Kluyveromyces lactis: one gene and its partners. The protein of the gene in region 2 interacts with the protein of the main gene of each other region in a biochemical or structural test. Links are inferred from orthologs where the notes say so. Each region holds a gene or a part of one and is shown on either strand. Other genes may lie near its edges. The genes, in order: RAD18, RAD6, UBA1 and UBR1.

Region 1 (4,746 bases), about 260 kb from region 2:
TGCATTCGGAAGCAGCAGCGGTGTGGAATGAGAAAGATGCAGAGCAGTATGAATTGGACCAGGGTGCATTGACCCCTCCACATTCATTCACTCATCGGTCTAGTATATCAGAATCGAGGACGCCTAACTACAAAATGAGGAAAATCAACCCATTGTCACCAGAGTTGTCTTCACCAATTAAACCGCAGCGCGCCAAGAGAATGAAAAGTGATCAAGGTCGCTCTAGTGGAGTCAATACGGTAGAAGAGTTTTTGGAACATTTATCTGATGATTCGCGCGTTGTTGTCTTGCAAGATCCAAATAAGAAACCGCCTTATTCTTATGCAATGATGATTGTTCTTTCGATATTGCAATCAGATACCGGTAAGCTAACACTTTCCCAAATATATTATTGGATATCCTCTCATTTCCCCTATTATAAGCGAGAAGATGCTGGTTGGCAGAATTCTATTAGGCACAACTTGTCTTTGAACGAAGCGTTTGTTAAAGGTGGTAAATCTTTGGACGGGAAGGGACATTTCTGGGAAATTAAACCTGGGTATGAATCCAAGTTCTTCAAAAATGATGAAAGTTTTTCCATTGATGATTTTAAGGTAAAGCTACAAAGATTCAAGAGTGTGAATTTGGATGATGGTTATGAAGCTGGCAGTACCACGTCCAGTTTTAATGGATCATCAATTGCCTCGTACAATAAGTCGAAAAGGAAAAATAAGTCATTTTCAATTTCTACCATGGATGACAAATCGAGTGATATTGGTGACGCGGGTGATACTTCCTTGGATCAAAGCAGTGACGGTGACGAAGAATCAACTTCAATAACCAATATACCTTCATCGCCACGATTAGGTGATCACGCCGAAGCTGCTGGTCATGGAAGCCATCAGTTTCCGGCTACGGATAAAGACTTCCTGTATTACGAAGATGAAAATATGGTCAAAAGACAAGACTCTAGTCATCTGGTGGGCCCGTTGAAATTTAACCATCGCTCTGTCAGTGCACATAACCATGAATATGATGATTTAATGGTTGCTGCCGTCTCTTCTCCTAAATTCAAAAAATATTCGTGTTCTTTCAACACATCATTTGAACCCGTATCTCCGATGAACAAGCTGCAGCTGCCATCAGTTAACCAGCAAAATTCAAAGACACCTATTAGGGAAAGCTCTGTCACTCCTCTGAAATTCAATATTTTTTCAACACCTAAAGATTTCAATAAAGATGGTCTGAACCCACCGGCGTCTACCAGAACTTGGCAAAGCCCGTCTCGTCTATTTGAAGATTATTATGCGTCATCACCAGTGTTTTTCAGAAACGTAATCAATCAATCTATAGATGATTGTATGATACAGTATGACACAGAAAAGAAATGTATTGATTCTCCCCGAAAGTTGAGTCTCAGAGATCAAACTTCTCCCAAGGAATCCAGTCAATCAGGATTAATTGATCACTCCAAATATTCATCAAACATTCTTTTTGGTGTTGATGTTTGTTCAGTGTGGAAAAGGGCGATTGCTCATTGTAACAGCAATGATGAAGTAGATAGCTATCGAGAAGAGGTAACAAAAAACGATTTGGACCCTCCTTTTGATGGGATGAACTAATGTTTGCTTTCTTTTTCATATAGAGTCTGTCGTTATCTCGATGACCATATTTTTTGTTTTTCTTCACAATCTGCCTGACGCTTGGGTTTCTTTATATGGCTGAGTTATTTGTCTCCTTTATTTCTTTCAATTTATTTCATTCCTGCGTTCAATTATTGTAGTGTACGCGCCTTTCTTTTATTCATTGGTGTCCTTTTTAAAGTATTTTTATTTGCAATAGTTATTGCTAATGTATGTATCATTATATCAATCATATTTAATTCTTACATTTCCTTCTAACCGATATTTACAATCAAAGGATATTATCCTGATAGACCATATGGCTTTGTTATTTGATCTGACTTCGTTTCATCGTTGTTTAATTAGCTCTGAATAGTGCTTCAATATTATGCCATACTTTGTAAATTACTAAAATACGATAAAAAGAAGCTAAAAGCAGATAATCCGAGTTACCTTCTGAAAAGTATCAAACATTAAATGCTGGAGTGCAGAGGAATCAACCAGAACTGTCATGAAGCTAAGTGTACCTGAAACTATATCGAATCCTCGTGATTTTCTTCACACGAGTGTTCCGCAACTTACTGACCTCGATTCACTTCTTCGATGTCATATCTGCAAAGATTTTTTAAAGGCATCGGTCTTGACGCCATGCGGTCATAGTTTCTGTTCCATTTGCATAAGAAAGTACCTTCAGAAAGAGAGCAAATGCCCATTATGTCTCAGTGACCTCACTGAGTCTATGCTACAAAAAGAGTTTCTAGTACAAGAGATTTGTTCAAGTTACGTGAAACTGCGAGGTTCTTTGCAGAAACACTTGACAATATCATCTCAGGAAGAGGAAAAAGATAATGAAATAATAATATCTGACGAGGCAGATACATCTGTAGGTACAAAGAGGGGTACTCCAGATAGCCCATCTTTATCTTCAGTAAGTACTAAAAAGAGAAAACATGATGGTATAACAACGTTGTTAATGAAAAAGAAAACGGATCATCCACAGCGGCAAGAGAAGAAGGCACAATGTCCTATATGCTCCAAGCACCTGCCGCTTTCAGAATTAGAAGGTTCGCATATTGATGAGTGTTTGAACAAAGGTAGTAGTTTGGAGAGATCGGATTCTTTTGAGATTTTGGATGAACGTACACCCTCCCCTTCGATGGAATCTTCGCATCAACCACTAGAAGAGAAGACTAGCCTGCCGTCTTCACATTTGCTAGAGGTAAAAGAAAAGAAGGATATCACGTACCATAACGAGAGGTACTTAAATTCTGGGCTGCTGCAGCAAAAGGAAAATAGATTACCAAGATTGGATTTTCAGTCTTTATCTATGACACAATTGAAACAGAAGCTTGCTTCTTTGGCTCTACCATCAAATGGCACCAAACAGCAAATGGTAGCGCGATACAAGCATTACGAAATGTTATGGAATAGTAATTTTTTAGATTCAATTGATCCTGTTGACGAAAATGAACTTAAACGTCGTCTATCCAGTTGGGAAGCTAAGCACAATACAGACCATTCTTCTGATAGCAATAGCATAACTAACCTTCTCAGGGGTAATAAACGTACTAATGCTATAAGTGCCATGATCAAACTTTTTAAAAGCGATAGATTTGATAGAAAAGGTTGGATGAGACATCACACGTCAACGTTTAAAGCATTAAAATTGGAAGCACAACGTTCCGATAAACTTGCAAAGATGAAGAAGGAAGAGCTCTCCCAGAAGAGTGATGCGAACTCAGAAGTAAGTTCGGAACCTATACTAAAGATTGATCAAACGTCAGAGAATAATTAATAGAATCTAATATTCTCAACTTTTCATTATTTATCGTATATCAGTATATAGTATCTATAATTCATCTTGAATGATGTCAGGAGATTCATTAAGGATATCTTCTCTTCCCTCTAAATTGCGACCTCCAGATTGCGATGGGGCTGATTGTACTCTTGTTTCCTCGACATTGCTATCACTTTGGGCACCCATAATATTTTCTTCGATTTCAGCGTTGGTAGGGTTTAATTCAGTGTCCAATATGTCCGAAGAGATTACAGGTGACTCAAAAGCTTCTATTGATTCAATATTACCGACAGCCTTAAGCTCGTTTAAGTCTGCAGCTGCAATTGAATCATCCATCGCCGATTATGAACTTCCCGATGTTGTTAATTCTTCGGAAACAGTAACTATGAATTCGCTTTCCTGATCCGCTGTTTTGGTAATGGAGGAAGAAATAGTAGTGCTGGATGAGAAGCTCGATTTAGCTTCTGTATCCTTTTCGGCAGATGAAATGTCTGATTCTTCGAGTTCTGTTTTATCAGTGGCTACAGACAGTTCAATTTCTGTCACAACGACTGTAGATGTGACAAGTTCTACGTCAAGGTTAGACTTTATTTGATCGATATGCGTAGCGGTATCTTCTTCCGCTTGTAATGAGGTACCTGGATAATGATCTTCTGATTGGACTTCATGAGCGACGTAGATATGATCTTCACTTGCAATTTCTGACTCAACAGATTCAAGTTCCTCTGCAACACTTGATGCCAATATTTCCGTTGCTGTTGCAGTGTCGCTTACATTGTCTTTGGTGTACAGTGATGGCTCGGACTCATCTTCAACGAGCAGTGATGTAGTTTCTACGGTTTCTGTATTCGATGTCTCTTCTATCAATTCGGATAAAGAGGAAACGTTGTCAATATCATCATCAGAGAATTCGCTAAATGAGATGGATGCTTCGACAGAAGATGTAGCTTCTGTTGTATCACTCACCATTAGTAGTTCTGAAGATGTTTCTGTCTGCTTTTCATCATCTTGTTCAATAGCATTAGACTCTTCAGAGGTTGTGATAACCAATAGTGTTTCAGAAGTGGCTTCTGTGTCTAATTCTTCCGAAGATTGCTCTGTTGACAGTTCAGCTTCATTTTCGATTCCAAAATCATTCTCTTCATCGTCAGTTCTATTCTCAGTGACCTTCTCCGCTATAATGTCTGCCGCTATTTCTGCTTCATTTTCGATTTCTAAATCAGGCCCTTCATCCGCAGTTTTGTCCTGTGAAACAACTTCCTCAGCTGTAATATCTAATGCTACTTCAACGTTATTTTCTATTCCAATGTTATTCTCCTCATGGTCGGTTTGTTCCTGTTGAGTGGC
Region 2 (4,219 bases):
GGTGTCCATAGAGTCGCCATCACAAACCAGGAAAATACTAAGATTACAGGTATCCTTTCACAAAGAAGATTGATCAAATATTTGTGGGATAACGCTAGATCATTCCAAAACTTTGAACACCTGTTCCAAAAATCTTTGAAAGATTTGAAAATCGGTGTTCTAGATACTCATACTAAACCTACCTCGAGACAATCAAGAGTGATCTCCATTCAAGGCGATGAATTGTTGATAATGGCCCTTTTCAAAATGCATACGGAAAGAATCTCGTCCATCGCGGTAATAGACCCGCAAGGTAACCTTTTGGGAAATATTTCGGTCACAGACGTCAAGCACATCACAAGAACTTCCCAATATCCGTTGTTACAGAATACCTGTTTACATTTCATAAGTGTTATCCTAGATAAGAGAGGTATTGAAATGGGTAAAGATTCATTCCCTATCTTCCATGTTTACCCTACATCTTCTCTTGCAAGAACAATTGCCAAGTTGGTCGCAACAAAGGCTCACAGATTGTGGATCGTACAACCTTCCGGAGATACTCCAGTAGATAGCGAAAAGGATAAACGTTCCGGGAAACTCATCGGAGTGGTCTCATTGACGGATATCTTAGGGTTATTGGCAAGACATCAAACTGAATTCAAAAGAGTCGATCCACTTGCTGCTAGAAGACAAAGAGGAAGCATCGTATGATACATATGTGATTATAATTTTTTCACCAGAGTCAAAAATCAATCGTACCTATAATCACTTCTTCTTAACTTCTATTCCTATCGGATCCCCTTTTTTGGCCTTGGTGAGCCATATTCTCTTTTCTAACAGGAACATTATTCACCAGCAATATTTATCGTGATTTATTACTACTTCTCTTTAGGCAGTTGTGGTTAACTTCGCATGTACATTTAATTTCATCTTTCCTCCCTTTTATCTTTTCATCGAATAGGCTCGTTCTTATTTAGGTACACTATATTATAGTTTTAGATATTATATTGTAACAGTAGATCATAATTAGGACTATGGGACGAACCAGAAATTCATGTTGTACAGATTCAAACAACAGGTAGTCCATTATTCCCTCTTCTCTACAAAAGCATTCTGGAGTTAGTTAGCTTTACCCATTATCAATTACCAATTTGATCTTGACGAAGAAAAATGAATATTTAAGCTTACATTATACTTTTGGATATACTGATGTTTGAATGATTAAGGAAGGGGAAAAACGGCAGCACAAACTTATAAAGCACCAATTAAGAAGGAGATGCCACGTCCGGTACCCAAGTCTTTACTGCTACGTCAAGCCAGACGTCTTTCTCCGGCAACTCAAGCACCAACCCCAACATTAGGTGCTTTAATATCACAATTCACACTTTCAGATAATTTCGATGAGACAACTTTAGAAGAACAATACGAACAACTGAAGCCTCTTCTGACCAGTATAACATTGACAAATGTGCCCTTTGACACCTGGACTTCCAATGATATTAACGTACTAAAACACCATCTTGATGCAAAGGCACCGCTGCCTTGGAAATTTTTAACCGATGACGAAAAACGAGTGTGGTATCTTTTGGGGTTTGGAACTTGGGGTCCGCGGAAAGAGTTCAATAAGGTAAAACCTAATGACATTCAGTGGAATGCGAATGCTAAGGTAAGTTCCAATCAAAGCGATGTTCCTAAGGTGGTGACACCTATACCGATTTGTTCAAGTGACAGAATCGAATGGGAAAAGAAAAAGAGACAACTAGATCCGCTAACAATATCAGTGGGCGTATTCGCCTCGATGATCACTCTCACAGCATTCCTTGTATAAAGAACTATTCGCATGGATATGACAATTTGTCATTTTGATTAAAGCGGTAACGGGTTGAGATTATTATGTAGATATTTGTATGCGTATATATATATATATATATATATATATATTTCGTGTTACTTGGATGCTTCTCGCTCACAAGGAATACTCCGGTTTAAGAAATTGGATCTAATCAATTTCGATTATCATTCTTCATCTTCGTCTTCGTCTGCCATGTCTTCCATATCATCTTCCCATGACTTTTCTACGGTCTCTTTCACACGTTTCACGTACTGAGATTTGTGATCCTGGAATAAAGTTGCTGCTTCAACGTTAGCAGGCGATGCAGGATTGGGATCATTAAATAACGACTGAATTGACGTTAGAATCGATGCAACGTCATATGTCGGAGTCCATCTATTCTGAAGAATGTCCAAGCAAATCTCACCATTGGCATACACGTTAGGATGGAACATCTCACTCAAGAATTTGACGTGCGGCGGTTTATTTGGATATTCTTCATCGAATTCTAGTAATAATCTAAACGTTCCATCTTCATACGGCGTATCTGCGGGGCCGATAATCATTGCATTCCAGATCATCACATTATCAGGTAGCGGCGACGCAGATACGCCTGGTGGCGAGTCTTCTTTCATTCTTTTGAAGTCTCTCATCAACCTCCTCCTAGCTGGCGTAGACATATTGTAGTATTCTTTCTTAAAACTTATTCCCTTAACACTTAAACAGGGTTCTTGAAAAGTGGCTATAATTTCGTTTAACCAATATTCAATGATTAATTTCTATCAGTACAATGACAATGTTTAACAAACGTCAGTGGTTCCTATAATATTTCGGTTTCCCAGTTGTAAGACTATCCTCTGCTATATCCCACTAATTGTTCAACCAGAGACAAGTTCTTAATAATTATTCGTAATCGGCGTCTCTTATTTCTACAGGAAATCTCAATTCAGTAAAATCAATTTTAAAGAACCACAATAGTATATTTCTTAACGAAAGTAGCTCCAGTAACAAATAATCAAACACACAGAACACTACTTGCCGTGTCTTTAACCACTGGCACCTTTCGTTTAGTCCAATAGTTATTCCAAACGCATCCTGTATCTATTTCAACTTTCTTTCGAAATGTGGCGAAATCTATTTGTGCGGGTAATAATAAAACGCTTTCCTATGCCAAACGACCATAAGTCATCGAATGATGATATAAATAAGTAAATATCGGTATATAGAGTGGTTACTATACATTACTATAAGCATTGCTAACTTGGTTTACTAAACTCTATCCAATTGCAATTTGTCCGTATGCCTCATCAAATTTCCTAGTTTGAGAACGGTATCGGTACCGTAACCTTGAATAGAATGTACGGTCAAATCACCGTTCCAATATTCGGCATATACTTTGCATAGTGCGAGACCAATTCCAAGTTTATATCTGGGAGATCGTTTGAGAAGCTCCATTAGCGGTTGTCCAACTTTAAATTTACCTTTCGTCAAATTGTTTTCTGACATCCGATCTAGCGATGTTTGTCTGTAACGATCTGATTTTAGATGAGCACCGTTAGAAGAATCATATAACGACAAAGTCTGCAATCCAGGCAAGTGATGGAAGTTGTCTAGGGATTGCTTGGCTAGCTCTTTTGATTTACCAAAGGACCATATCTGCTTATCAGAATGTGGCACTCCACCACCTCTATCACTGATTCTGAAAAGATAACTTTGGTCATTCGATATTATAGTTACTGTCACCGGAGGTGCCTTTTCTAGTCCCAATCGTATGGTCTCCTTGACAGTCACTTCGTAGCTGTTTCTTAAGATTTCTCCCAATAGGAACTTTAGATGCGATGGTAGGAAATAGAATTCTAGTTCAGTGTCCCCGTTGATAATCAATTCGGGCATCTTGATGCCCGCAAAATACATATTATTGATGTATGCCTCACATACTTCCCTCGCACCGTTCAAGTACTCCTTGGCGTTACATTTTTGGAAAATATCTCCCAAAACAAGTGTGTTTTCCTTCTTTCCACTTAAATAATTGGATGTGATACTCAAATGTTCTTCTACGATCAACCTTCTACTAATCCGGGCTCTCAATAAATCCGAAATCAATGCATCCATTTTATCCTGAGGGTACAAATCCAGGATTCTACATTCCAAAGCACCCATAATCAAATGAGGCAAGTTCAAAGAGTTGAAATCTGATAAAATCGCATGTAGAAACTGACAAAACTTCAAATTGTCCTTCTCGTCCTTGATCTCCGGGAACTTTCTGAACCTTTCAAAGATGTTATAATATGATTCATACACCTGATTGAAATGGAAATTATTCACTACATCGAAAGGCAAGTTTTGCAATAGGTCTAATTTATGTGCGATACGAACACATAGCTCCTCTTTCACAAATTTCCCAGAAGA
Region 3 (6,037 bases), on a different chromosome or scaffold from region 2:
AATAGGTGAATATTACGTCGGTCCAAGCACCAGTTCCGGTCCAGCCCATAATGGTCAGATCGTTTCTTAGGTTCATGTTAAGTTCATCAGCGTATTTTTTTTCCAATGTAGTCTCAGTGACCCTTGCGACCATTTCACGGATCACTGGATGGCCTGGCTTGGCTTGTACGACCCAATTGCCAAATTGCAATCTTCTCAAATAAGAAGATCTCCAATCAGGAGTCTTCGAGTCGTGTTCAATACCAATAATCAACCCGATTTCCTTTGGAGACACGTTCTCTGGGATCCAATTGGGTACTGGTTGCAACAGATCAGTGTCGACATCTGCCCAGACACCACCACGCGCCAGCAAGATGAGGTACTTAAAGAAATCGATCTTTAAGATCGACGTAGGCAAAGAATCATAAGCTTCTATCACTTCAGGAACTGTAGCATAGAAACCATGCACAAACGCCGCAGCAGTATCGTCGTTGACAATCTCGTGAACGAAACCAGGGTTTTTATTAGCCCAGTTCCGTTCGTATTTTTTCAATGTAGGATCCAACCTGTCATCGTCATCGGAATACGGCCAACTTTGCCAAACAAAAGCGGGGAATCTCTGAGTGGTACCGTACTCAAACACAACGGCCAACTTCTCTCTCAAAGTCGCATGTCTGGCAGGTTGCTTCAACGCTTGAATCTTCTTCTCCAAGACTTTCCTCTCTCTATCAAACCTTCTTGCCTGATCGTCCTGTTTCTTTAGCATATCCTGGCTCAATTTCTCAAATTTCTCCATAATTTTACGGTCTGATTGCTCGGAAGAACCCATATTAATCTCCTTAGGTAAATTCTGTAATAGTGTCTGCAAATCTGCAGCAGTCGTACTGTAGTTAAGCATCTTGAAAAGAACCACCACTGCAAACACCAACGGAATTGCAATGGTGGCTATCCTTCTCCAGTTATTTCTCTTGCCCTTGGCCATCTTCACACGGATAGCGCAAGTTATGAACCACTAATCAACACCAGGGCTCCCGCTCGTAGTGATATACCGTTGAGAGTCTAGCTGATGGAGGAATAAGTATGTATTGTTTATCATTGATAATACCATTTCCATAGTTGAAACACTCATTCTTAAAGAAATTCATTACCCGGATATATAATTTACTATACTTTTACTATACCTGGTTTCGATCATGCAAATAACGATGGATCCTCCACTTTGAAGCTCGAGATCATGTCCCGAAGCAACGAATAGGACGCGTGCACCCTTTGAGGTAGCTTTTCCGGTGAGTTTTGCGCAATTGCCTGTTCCATGGCCTTCAGTTCTTGTTCCGATGAGATAGGCACGTGAACAGAAATGATGACGTCGGTATCGAATTGATCCAACCTGAGCAATGCAACACACATTACTACGGTTTCCTTCATCGATTGTTTGCCCCACTTGTATGCGGTCTCAACAACGATACATGTCTGTGATTTGAGTTCCGTTTGCTCTTGATGGTCAATTACTGTCCATTTCTGTGATCCGTTGAGTTCTGAAATTTCTGCCAAATGGATATCTAACGCTTTTCTGTCATTATTCTCTTCCACACGCTGCATTAGGTCTACGATCACACTTTCATCGAACCCGAGCCCATCCTCACTAGGTTCATTCTCACGTCTGCTATTCACGAACACTTCCTGTGTGTCTGGTACTTGCCTTAGCATTGAAGCATCAAGAAACGTCTTGGGAATGACGGTGCTGATGGCACCGCCGTACAATTCTTGTCTGATCCAATGGGACATGGAAAATTAGATATATAGGGTTGTCAGACTGTGGGTAGAGTAAACAATCGCGCTGTCCTTGCCAGTCGAAGTCTCTCCCTCTCTCTTTATCTCTTGAGAAGGACATCTCGTCTTCAAGGTAAGGGAAAATCAAATATCACATTTGACGAACATTCAAATATTATGTGGTGTGCTGGTGTAAATGCATTTATTGTATGCAATGATGGCTTCAAGCATGCCAAATGGGTTTAAATCAAGTGATTACTGTCTCGTATTAATTAATTATTTACGAAACAATTTATATGGGCTCTTGGAACCATACTATCACCTCAAATGCTTCACTTTCTGTCGTATTGTATTCGAACATCTTCCATTCATATCACGTGACTGAAAACTCAACCACTCACGTGACCGAACCCAAAGTGGCAAAAACCGAATTAATAAGGCCAACAACCTATAAACAACTACAAACCAGTTTCCTTAAAACAACAATAGCAACAAGAAGTGAACCGTTCGTTCATTTTGATCACATTGCATCACAAGTTAGTATCAGATATGACGAATATTAAGGTTGATGGCGAAGAAATTGACGAGAGCTTGTACTCTCGTCAATTGTACGTATTAGGTAAAGAAGCGATGTTAAAGATGCAACATTCGAACGTTTTGATCATTGGGTTAAAAGGTTTAGGTGTCGAGATTGCCAAGAACGTTGTCTTGGCCGGTGTTAAGTCTTTAACCCTTTATGATCCAAGCGCTGTCGCTTTACAGGATCTTTCTACGCAGTTTTTCCTGTCAGAACAAGATATTGGGCAAGCTAGAGATAAAGTATCACAGGCAAAATTAGCCGAATTAAACTCATACGTGCCAGTGAAGGTGCTAGAGGGGCTAGAAGACGTGTCACAATTGTCTGAATTCCAAGTAGTTGTTGTGACAGACACGATTTCACTAGAAGAAAAGGTGAAGTTGAATGAGTATACACACTCTCACGGTATCGGTTTCATTTCTACGGAGACCCGTGGGTTATTTGGTAACGTTTTCGTCGATTTAGGTGAAGAATTTACCGTTATTGATACTACTGGTGAAGAGCCAAAGACAGGTATTGTTTCTGATATCGAGTCGGATGGTACAGTGACCATGTTGGACGATAACAGACATGGGTTAGAAGATGGCAATTACGTCAAATTCTCCGAGGTGGAAGGTCTTGAGAAGTTGAATGATGGTACTCCTTACAAGGTCGAGGTGTTGGGTCCGTTCGCATTCAAGATTGGTTCTGTTAAGGATCTTGGTACATACAAGAAAGGTGGTCTGTTCACCGAGGTCAAGATGCCACAGAAATTAACGTTCAAGTCTTTAAGGGAATCTTTGGCAACACCAGAGTTCCTGTACTCGGATTTCGCCAAATTCGAGACTACTGCACAATTACACTTGGGTTTCCAGGCCCTACATCAGTTCCAAGTTAGACATCAAGGTGAATTGCCAAGGCCATTTTATGAAGAAGATTCTAATGAATTAGTTAAACTCGTTATAGATTTAGCTACACAACAACCTGAAGTGCTGGGTTCTGAGGGGAAAGTTGATGAAAAGCTCATCACAGAACTAGCTAACCAAGCAAGAGGTGATATTCCAGGTATCGTTGCTTTCTTCGGTGGTCTGGTTGCTCAAGAAGTGTTAAAGGCCTCCTCCGGTAAGTTCACTCCTATTAAACAGTACATGTATTTCGATTCCATCGAATCTCTACCAGATTCTGAAGATTTCCCAAGAAATGCAGATACCACGAAACCAATCAACTCTCGTTACGATAACCAAATTTCCGTATTCGGTTTGGAATTCCAAAAGAGAATCGCAAATTTGAAGGTATTCCTAGTGGGTTCAGGTGCGATCGGTTGTGAGATGCTCAAGAATTGGGCTTTACTAGGTTTGGCTTCTGGCCCTGAAGGTAAAATTATTGTTACCGACAATGACTCAATTGAAAAGTCGAATTTGAATCGTCAATTCTTGTTCAGACCAAAGGATGTCGGCAGAAATAAATCTGAAGTTGCTGCTGATGCTGTAAGTGCAATGAATCCTGATTTGAAGGGCAAGATCGAGCCAAAGATTGACAAAGTTGGTGCTGAAACAGAGAATATTTTCAACGATGCTTTTTGGAATCAATTAGACTTCGTTACCAACGCATTGGATAATGTGGATGCTCGTACCTATGTCGACCGTCGTTGTGTGTTCTACAAGAAACCTTTACTAGAATCGGGAACATTGGGGACAAAGGGTAATACACAAGTGGTTATCCCTAACCTGACAGAATCTTATTCATCTTCAAGAGACCCTCCTGAAAAGTCAATCCCATTGTGTACATTGCGTTCATTCCCTAATAAGATTGATCACACTATCGCTTGGGCCAAATCCCTATTCCAAGGCTACTTCTCTGACGCAGCTGAAAATGTTAACCTATACTTGACGCAACCAAACTTCGTAGAACAAACTTTGAAACAAGCCCCAGATGCCAAAGGTATCTTAGAATCAATTAGTGATTGTCTAAACAATAGACCTTACAACTTTGAAGATTGTGTCAAATGGGCAAGATTAGAATTTGAAAAGAAGTTTAGTTATGATATCCAACAGTTTCTTTACAACTTCCCTAAGGATGCAACAACATCCACCGGGGAGCCATTCTGGTCTGGTCCAAAGCGTGCCCCTGAACCATTAGTCTTCAATATCGAAAACCCAGATCACTTCCACTTCATCGTTGCATCTGCTAACTTGCGTGCGTTCAATTATGGTCTAAAGGGAGATGATGGTAAACCAGACATTAACTACTATCAATCCGTCCTATCAAAGCTTATAGTTCCTGAATTTATTCCAAAAGCTGACATCAAAATTCAAACCAATGACGATGAACCAGATCCAAACGCGAACAACCAGCTTGGTGGCGATGTCTTAGAAAACTTGGCAGCTTCTTTGCCAGATGCTTCTACCTTAGCTGGTTTCCAACTAATCCCAGTTGAATTTGAAAAGGATGACGATACAAACCATCATATTGAGTTCATTACTGCTGCATCGAACAACCGTGCTCTAAACTACTCTATCGAACCAGCTGATCGTCAAAAGACTAAGTTCATTGCTGGCCGTATCATTCCTGCCATCGCTACAACCACTGCTTTGGTTACAGGATTGGTCAACCTAGAACTATACAAAGTCGTCGCTGGAAAGACAGATATTGAACAATACAAGAACGGGTTTGTGAATTTAGCTCTTCCATTTTTCGGTTTCTCAGAACCAATCGCATCACAAAAGGGTAAATACAATGATAAGACTTTCGATAAAATATGGGATAGATTCGATATTCAAGGTGATATCACATTAAGAGAGTTGATTGATCACTTCAACAAGGAAGAAGGATTGGAAATTACAATGGTCTCCTACGATGTTTCTTTACTATACGCATCATTCTTCCCTCCAAAAAAACTAAAGGATAGAATGGATCTTCCAATAACTGAGGTTGTAAAATTAGTCACGAAGAAGGAAATCCTCAGTCACGTTAAGACCATGATTTTGGAATTCTGTTGTGAAGATAAGGAAGGTGAAGACGTGGAGGTTCCATATGTCACCGTCCATTTGTAATGATTCTAATTTTGTCTGATACCAGATGTAAATTCGTAATTCTATCTCTATGATGCTAGGCTTAATGATATAAACTTACTTAGAAGAAATCATACATGTGAATCAATCGTTATTTAAAATCCTCTGTTAATATCTAGTGCACGAAACTATCCGGTATAGTTCGCCTCTAGATTCGAAGAGCTCTGCATAGGATCCCTCTTCTTTAACTTTCCCTTTTTTCAAAACAAGAACCCTATCGCAAATTTGCATCAATTGCTCTGAATGAGTAATAACAATCACCGTAACATTCTTCAGAACAGTCCTGATGAGCTCTGCAATTGCAAATGAATTAGCTGCATCCAGTGCAGATGTGCATTCATCTAGTATGATGATTTTCGGCTGGCGTAACAACGTGCGGGCGATAGATAATCGTTGGGCTTGACCTCCGGACATTAACCCATCATGAACGCGCGTATTCAAGTCATTCGGTAGGGTTTGTACAAATGATAGTAAATCAACTGACTTTAAAACTGATCTTAATTCAGAGTTTGAAACGTTACGTTTGAGACCATATACCAGGTTTTCTCTTACTGTACCATCAAAGAATTTTGGCTTCTGTTCCACAATTGAAATGGTTCTTCTTAAAGCATACTCATCCCATTTATTGATATCAATACCACCAATATAAACTTTCCCACTA
Region 4 (5,772 bases), on a different chromosome or scaffold from region 2:
TTCATCAAATGGGTCGGTATATCTTGTAATTCAAGTTCTTGCTTCAATCGTAGCATAAAAGCCTTATTGGTTGATTCGGCAATAACGGTGAAATGCTCATCTTGATCAAACTGTGAGAGTACGAACGTACCAAACGAGATATCCTTCTTCAATGCCCTTGAAATTTTCCTTGCAACATCTTGCACATGTATGTTACATTCATGCTGGTATAAGACGAGAACATACTTTTGTGAAAATGATTCTACATTTCCTACAGAGTCTTTGATCGGTATGGACTCCACAGCTTCATGTTTTATCTTCTCATCGCCATCCATCCAAGCAAAACAACAGTCAATAATAAAATCGAGTACCTGCGAGAACGTTGAAATCCACATATCGTTGTACAGTTGTAGGTTCGTAACATCAATATCTGCATTGTTACTCTGTATCCTACATTGAAAAGCCTTCTTGGGATCATTATAGCTAGATATGTCGCCGCAATGGCATACTTTCCCCTCTGGCCGCGTCACTACGCGTGATGTATATCGGTGGCCTATGTGCTGACTCTCATCAAAACAATCTTCACAAATTTCATACAACGGATTTTTTGTACAATCAAAGCAGTAGTAAACGGTCTCAGTGCCATGGCACTGTTTCGAACACTGCGAACCTCGATGATCGTTATGTTTCCTTTTCGGTATGAGTGACTCACGCCAGTTAGATCTCAATTTGATCTTCCCAAAATCGCCCATTTCCCACTGATTTAACCCAAAAACATGAGTAAGATCTTCCCAGTTTATTTCCTCATTACAATGGTTCATACAGGTGAGTAGAACCTTCCAAAGGTAAAACGAACACATATCATTGTATCTGTACCTGCAGAAATGAGCAAAGTGAACCAAAAAATCACGCAGACATCGCACTGATTCGCCCATCTTAAATGGACTCGCTAAAAAGAATACCTGCTTCTTTCTGGTCTTGGCTTGCTAGTCATTCAAACCTAAAATGAACACTATTAACAGAGCAAAAACAAGAAGCGCGCCCCTTGATATAACGTGCATCCATTTATCTATTTACTATTTACATTTTTAAGCTTGTCTTACTTTCAGTTTTTCGTTTCAGCAAGTATTCGAGGCATTTGCCACCTTTAAACATTAGTACGAAGAGCACAAAAAAGAATATCTTAGGATACCTGATGTAAAATCACAATGGAGTTAGCATCAGTTGGGTAGTGTCTATGGAGTGTATAGAGGGACTATTATTGTAAATATTTTGATGTTTGACCGTGGTCACATGACCGAATATCAGTCACGTGACTTACTTTTGAACCAAAAGTCAGGGATTTATAGGGCTGACGACTTTGAAACAGGCGAGCTTCTTTGGATCGAGACGTTGAACTGCAGCTGGAATCCTAACTTAATCGTAGTTTTTTTTATTTATATAACTTCGCTAAATTGTGTGCTGAGAACAACGTTGGATTACAAATCGAAGACATGAAAGAAATGCTTTATTTAGATTATTTTGACAACCTATTTGAAGAAGAAGGTATTGATGGTCAGTGTACCACTTGCTACCAAACATAACCTGCTTATTAAATGATTCAATTGTGTTTATGGAACCGAAATGATTATTTCTAGGGTACTTCTTACACTTTGCTTCGGTCAAATTCCACATACATTGAGAGGATTCATTTTTATCTTCTGAAAGATTCAATAAAAAAAAAAGGAATACGATATCAGAAAAGAGTTTTGACTTTCCTTGCCAATGCACAGTTGACAAAGGTTCAATACAGGTTGATTTGTCGTATAAACAACTGATCATCAACATAGCAATATCAGAACAATCCCTAAGGTAATATGATTAACGATACTGACCCAGAGTCGTTTTTGCGGCAACATGTTGGACGAACCTTAGGCTGCATTCATTCTCGGCCTGAATTCAAAGATATAAAGGGATCTGCAGAGAGAGCAGTTATGGATAAAGAGCTCAAGAGTTTCATATATGGGTATTATTACTATATGATTTCAGACAGTGGTAGGCTTCTTCCGCATATGTTTACTGCTACAAATGAGCGTGAATTCCCCAAGAATGTCGACCAAGCAATGGAAATCAAGCTGAGTTCGAAACCCTGGTATAAGATCGATGAGAATGGCGGGCATTCGAAATTCAACCACGCTGGCAGAATATGTGGTGCGAAGTTTAGAGTAGGCGAACCGATCTACCGTTGTAAGGAGTGTTCATTTGATGATACTTGTGTGCTATGTGTAAACTGTTTCAATCCAAAGGATCACGTTGGTCATCACGTATATACGTCGATCTGCACAGAATTCAATAACGGTATATGTGATTGTGGTGACAAGGAGGCATGGAACCATGAATTGAACTGTAAAGGTGCTGAAGATAATGGTCGTTTGGAAGACGAGTTTGACGACCATGATGGCAAGATTTCTAAGATGCTAGAAAGCGTCCTAATAGAATTATTTGATCATTTCATCGATGTCTTCAACCAAAACATTGAGCCATTAACAACAATTCAAAAACCACTCATTGCGAAACTTAGATACTTCATCCAGAACGGGAAATATAATGAACAAGCTGACATGCTGAGGCGATTGGCATATAGAAATCAATACATGGACGAAGAGGAGTCCCAGCAACAAACGCCATCTACATCGTTAGATCCCTTGAGTACACTTAAAGATTATGCTATTTTGGTATACAACGATGAATTTCATAACTATTCGCAGGCTTCTGCTGCCATTAGACAAGGTGGGCCTGATAACAAACATATTGATTTATTGACTGCGAAGATCGATTCTGAGGGGAGATCATTGTTGAGATGCAGCGCTGATATCGCATCTTTAATGGGAGGATTCTTTTCCGTTCAAAGTAACGGGTTGAGCTGCACAATAACTCAATGGTATGAATATCTACATCAAGAAGCCTGTAAGTATAGCATAATGTGGATTAATGATTGTTTGAATATCCCAAACTCTACTTTCCAAAGCCTTTTCAGAAATGCTATAGGCAAAGTTCTATGTTCCAAGTACGAACCTTTTTATCAGTCTATCGATATGACCTCAGTTGTTAGAGATTACTTTTCAGATAGTTACCTGAGTGATGATCCATATTTGTATGCGGATCATTCGGTTTTGGGTGAAGGTGTCAAGATCCCTCTTGGAAGACATAAATCCCTAGATCCTGGAGACATATCTGCTATTTCCCCCATCTTGAATAAAGTAATAGCAGAAGATCATCATGAATATACTAATTCTAGGTTGCAATACGTGTTGTTCCTCGAAAACAGGTACTGGAAGAAGCTTAGAAAAATAGTTCAGGATCTAATTATACCAACACTAGCATCAAGTGCTGTGCACAAACCAATGTTTACTGATCAGCTAGTCGAAATTTTCCCACACATGACACGAAGTGTGACCTTCATGGATCGTGAACCTCAACTTACATCATTAAGGGAGAGTGTCGTTCAGTTATTCACCTGCCCAACTACGGCTTACAGTATTTTTCACAGTGGACATTTCAACTACGTCATATGGTCAGTGATTGACGTTTTTGTTGACTTTTCTACCATGGATGAGGGCACGTTGGTTTGGCAACGGGTTCAGAGAAGTAACCCTTCTAAAAGCTACAGTATATCATTCAAACAAGGATTGTATGCTGTAGAAACTTTACTCAGTAAAATCACTGACCCTAATCTATTGTTGAAACCGGGAGAGTTTATCATGATTGTAACACTATGTAAACTCTTCAACGGCGCATGGAAGATTAAAAGAAAGGAAGGAGAGCATGTTTTAAGGGAAGACCAGCATTTTATTCCATATTTGGAGTATACGACATCAGTCTATAGCATCATTCAGACTTTTGATAAAGTTTTGCAGCAATCAAAGGATCACATTGACCAGCGATTGCTTATTGGGGCCATCAACTTATTGGATTCATTTTTGGGACATAGAAACTTGTCATACAAATTATACAAAGACTTTGAAATCATAAAATTCCAAATCAGCAAAGAACGAGTTTCATTTATGAATCCCGTTCATACTTTGTTTTCTTTCCTTGTGCAGCATGTTCCCTTACAGGTGTCAATTCAAGTTTTATCTCAATCCAAAGACTATCTAGTTATTTCGGATTTTGCTTTGAGATCTGTCGTCTTATGTTCGCAAATCGATATAGGATTTTGGGTTAGAAATGGTATGTCAGTTCTTCACCAGTCAGCATATTACAAGAACAATCCTGAAATGAGCTCCTATAGCAGAGACATACAACTTAATCAATTGGCGTTTCTAATTGAAAAAAACGATTTTCAAAGAGTCATCTATAACATGTTAGATAGGTGGGAATTACTTGACTGGTTTGATGGAAGTGTTCCCTCGACAGAGACAGTGTACGATGATAAAATATCGTCGATTATTCAACAATTCGTTGCATTCCTATATCAGATATTGGTGGAAAGAGACTTTTATAAAAAGTTCGATACCCTGGAAGAAACACAATTGTACAACATTAAGAATGCCATTATTTATAAACTATACGCTGAACCACTATCATACACTGACTTATTGAACGATATACCCGATTACCTTACTGAAAGTGTTTCCCAATTTGATACAGTTCTCGAAGAAGTTTCTACGTACATTGAGCCCAAAGGGCTCGAAGATAATGGTGTTTTCAAACTAAAGAAGGAACTCTACAAGAGAATAGATTCCCTGCGGTTACTGAATATGGGAAATGATTTTGAACATAGTGCCACGATTGTTAAGTCACATTTAGCTGATAGCAAGGAAAAACGGGCCAAAATAATTGTCAAACCCCAATTACTTGAATTAGATGAATTAGACCCATGTGCGCGAGAACTAGGAAGCTTCACAAGAACAAATCTCTTTGCGAAGTTGATATTCAAGCTATTAAAGTTGGCTGTCTCCGATTCCAGTTTTTCGTTTACTTACGAGCTACTTCATTTAATTCATGCCATTTTTAGAGACGACGAAATGGTCAATGGTAAAGATTCTTTGCCAGAGGCGTATATTAGCAAACCAATATGTGATTTGTTATTGAGCATTGTTGACTCTGAAAGCGGATCGTTTTCTGAGAATGTCGTGGCAACTGCTGATTACCTTCTAGATAACATGATCATGAAGCGCCCAACGGCAGTTTTAGAATCTCTAACAGAGTGTTTCGGAACAAAGTACATCGCGGACTACAAAATCAGAAAAGCAAATCAAGGTGTAAATTTCGAGGAGACAGAGCAGGAGCGTAAAAGAAGGTTAGCCAAAAATCGTCAACAACAGATTATGAATAGATTCTCCCGTCAGCAGAAAAAATTCATGGACAAGCACGAGGAGTACAGTGCTGGTAATGACGAAGATGTGGATATGGACGGAGAAGATCTGGCAGGAGAACTCAATGAATTTCACTGCTCTCTTTGTCATGACGATGTGTCAGATGATTTTTTTGTTATCCCAATTTATCAAAACTACTCTCCTGTCTTTCTATCGTCCAACCCTACGCCAATGGAAATATACAAACCATGGCATGGCTTTGACAATAACGAACACCTCGCCACTTATAACACAGATTTGTTTTACAAGAAAAAAGAAAACGGAGCTAGTCAACTAATGCATGAGTCTACACAGAAGGTTCTTGTATCTTGTAATCATGCCGTGCACTATCGCTGTTTCAAACATTATATTGATAAGAAGCGGTATAGTACAGATCTCTTCATCTGCCCATTATGTCAAACGTATTGTAATTCAGTCATACCTGTCGATACAGTTA

Evidence for each region.
Region 1: the proteins of RAD6 (region 2) and RAD18 form a complex in vitro, tested with the Saccharomyces cerevisiae proteins (12 studies listed by BioGRID, with this or other methods). The link is inferred for Kluyveromyces lactis from reciprocal best matches to the Saccharomyces cerevisiae genes RAD6 and RAD18.
Region 3: of the proteins of RAD6 (region 2) and UBA1, one has a biochemical effect on the other in vitro, tested with the Saccharomyces cerevisiae proteins (6 studies listed by BioGRID, with this or other methods). The link is inferred for Kluyveromyces lactis from reciprocal best matches to the Saccharomyces cerevisiae genes RAD6 and UBA1.
Region 4: the proteins of RAD6 (region 2) and UBR1 form a complex in vitro, tested with the Saccharomyces cerevisiae proteins (10 studies listed by BioGRID, with this or other methods). The link is inferred for Kluyveromyces lactis from reciprocal best matches to the Saccharomyces cerevisiae genes RAD6 and UBR1.

What each region holds. Positions count from the first base shown.
Region 1 is NC_006039.1:764,497-769,242, reverse strand, and holds RAD18 (E3 ubiquitin-protein ligase RAD18), read left to right. Parts: upstream 1-2,112; coding exon 2,113-3,396; downstream 3,397-4,746. Other genes in the region: HCM1 (Hcm1p), read left to right, coding at 1-1,601; GTPase-activating protein SED4, read right to left, coding at 3,742-4,746. UniProt on the Saccharomyces cerevisiae protein: E3 RING-finger protein, member of the UBC2/RAD6 epistasis group. Associates to the E2 ubiquitin conjugating enzyme UBC2/RAD6 to form the UBC2-RAD18 ubiquitin ligase complex involved in postreplicative repair (PRR) of damaged DNA.
Region 2 is NC_006039.1:501,489-505,707, forward strand, and holds RAD6 (E2 ubiquitin-conjugating protein RAD6), read right to left. Parts: upstream 2,491-4,219; coding exon 1,996-2,490; downstream 1-1,995. Other genes in the region: KLLA0_C05588g (uncharacterized protein), read left to right, coding at 1-690; KLLA0_C05610g (uncharacterized protein), read left to right, coding at 1,256-1,807; protein kinase PKP2, read right to left, coding at 3,080-4,219. UniProt on the Saccharomyces cerevisiae protein: E2 ubiquitin-conjugating enzyme that accepts ubiquitin from the ubiquitin-activating enzyme E1 and transfers it to a E3 ubiquitin-protein ligase.
Region 3 is NC_006038.1:1,251,917-1,257,953, reverse strand, and holds UBA1 (E1 ubiquitin-activating protein UBA1), read left to right. Parts: upstream 1-2,298; coding exon 2,299-5,358; downstream 5,359-6,037. Other genes in the region: HOC1 (alpha-1,6-mannosyltransferase), read right to left, coding at 1-961; Ran GTPase-binding protein MOG1, read right to left, coding at 1,171-1,764; ATP-binding cassette a-factor transporter STE6, read right to left, coding at 5,485-6,037.
Region 4 is NC_006042.1:1,412,357-1,418,128, reverse strand, and holds the start of UBR1 (E3 ubiquitin-protein ligase UBR1), read left to right. Parts: upstream 1-1,835; coding exon 1,836-5,772. Other genes in the region: putative ubiquitin-protein ligase UBR2, read right to left, coding at 1-914. UniProt on the Saccharomyces cerevisiae protein: Ubiquitin ligase protein which is a component of the N-end rule pathway. Recognizes and binds to proteins bearing specific N-terminal residues that are destabilizing according to the N-end rule, leading to their ubiquitination and subsequent degradation.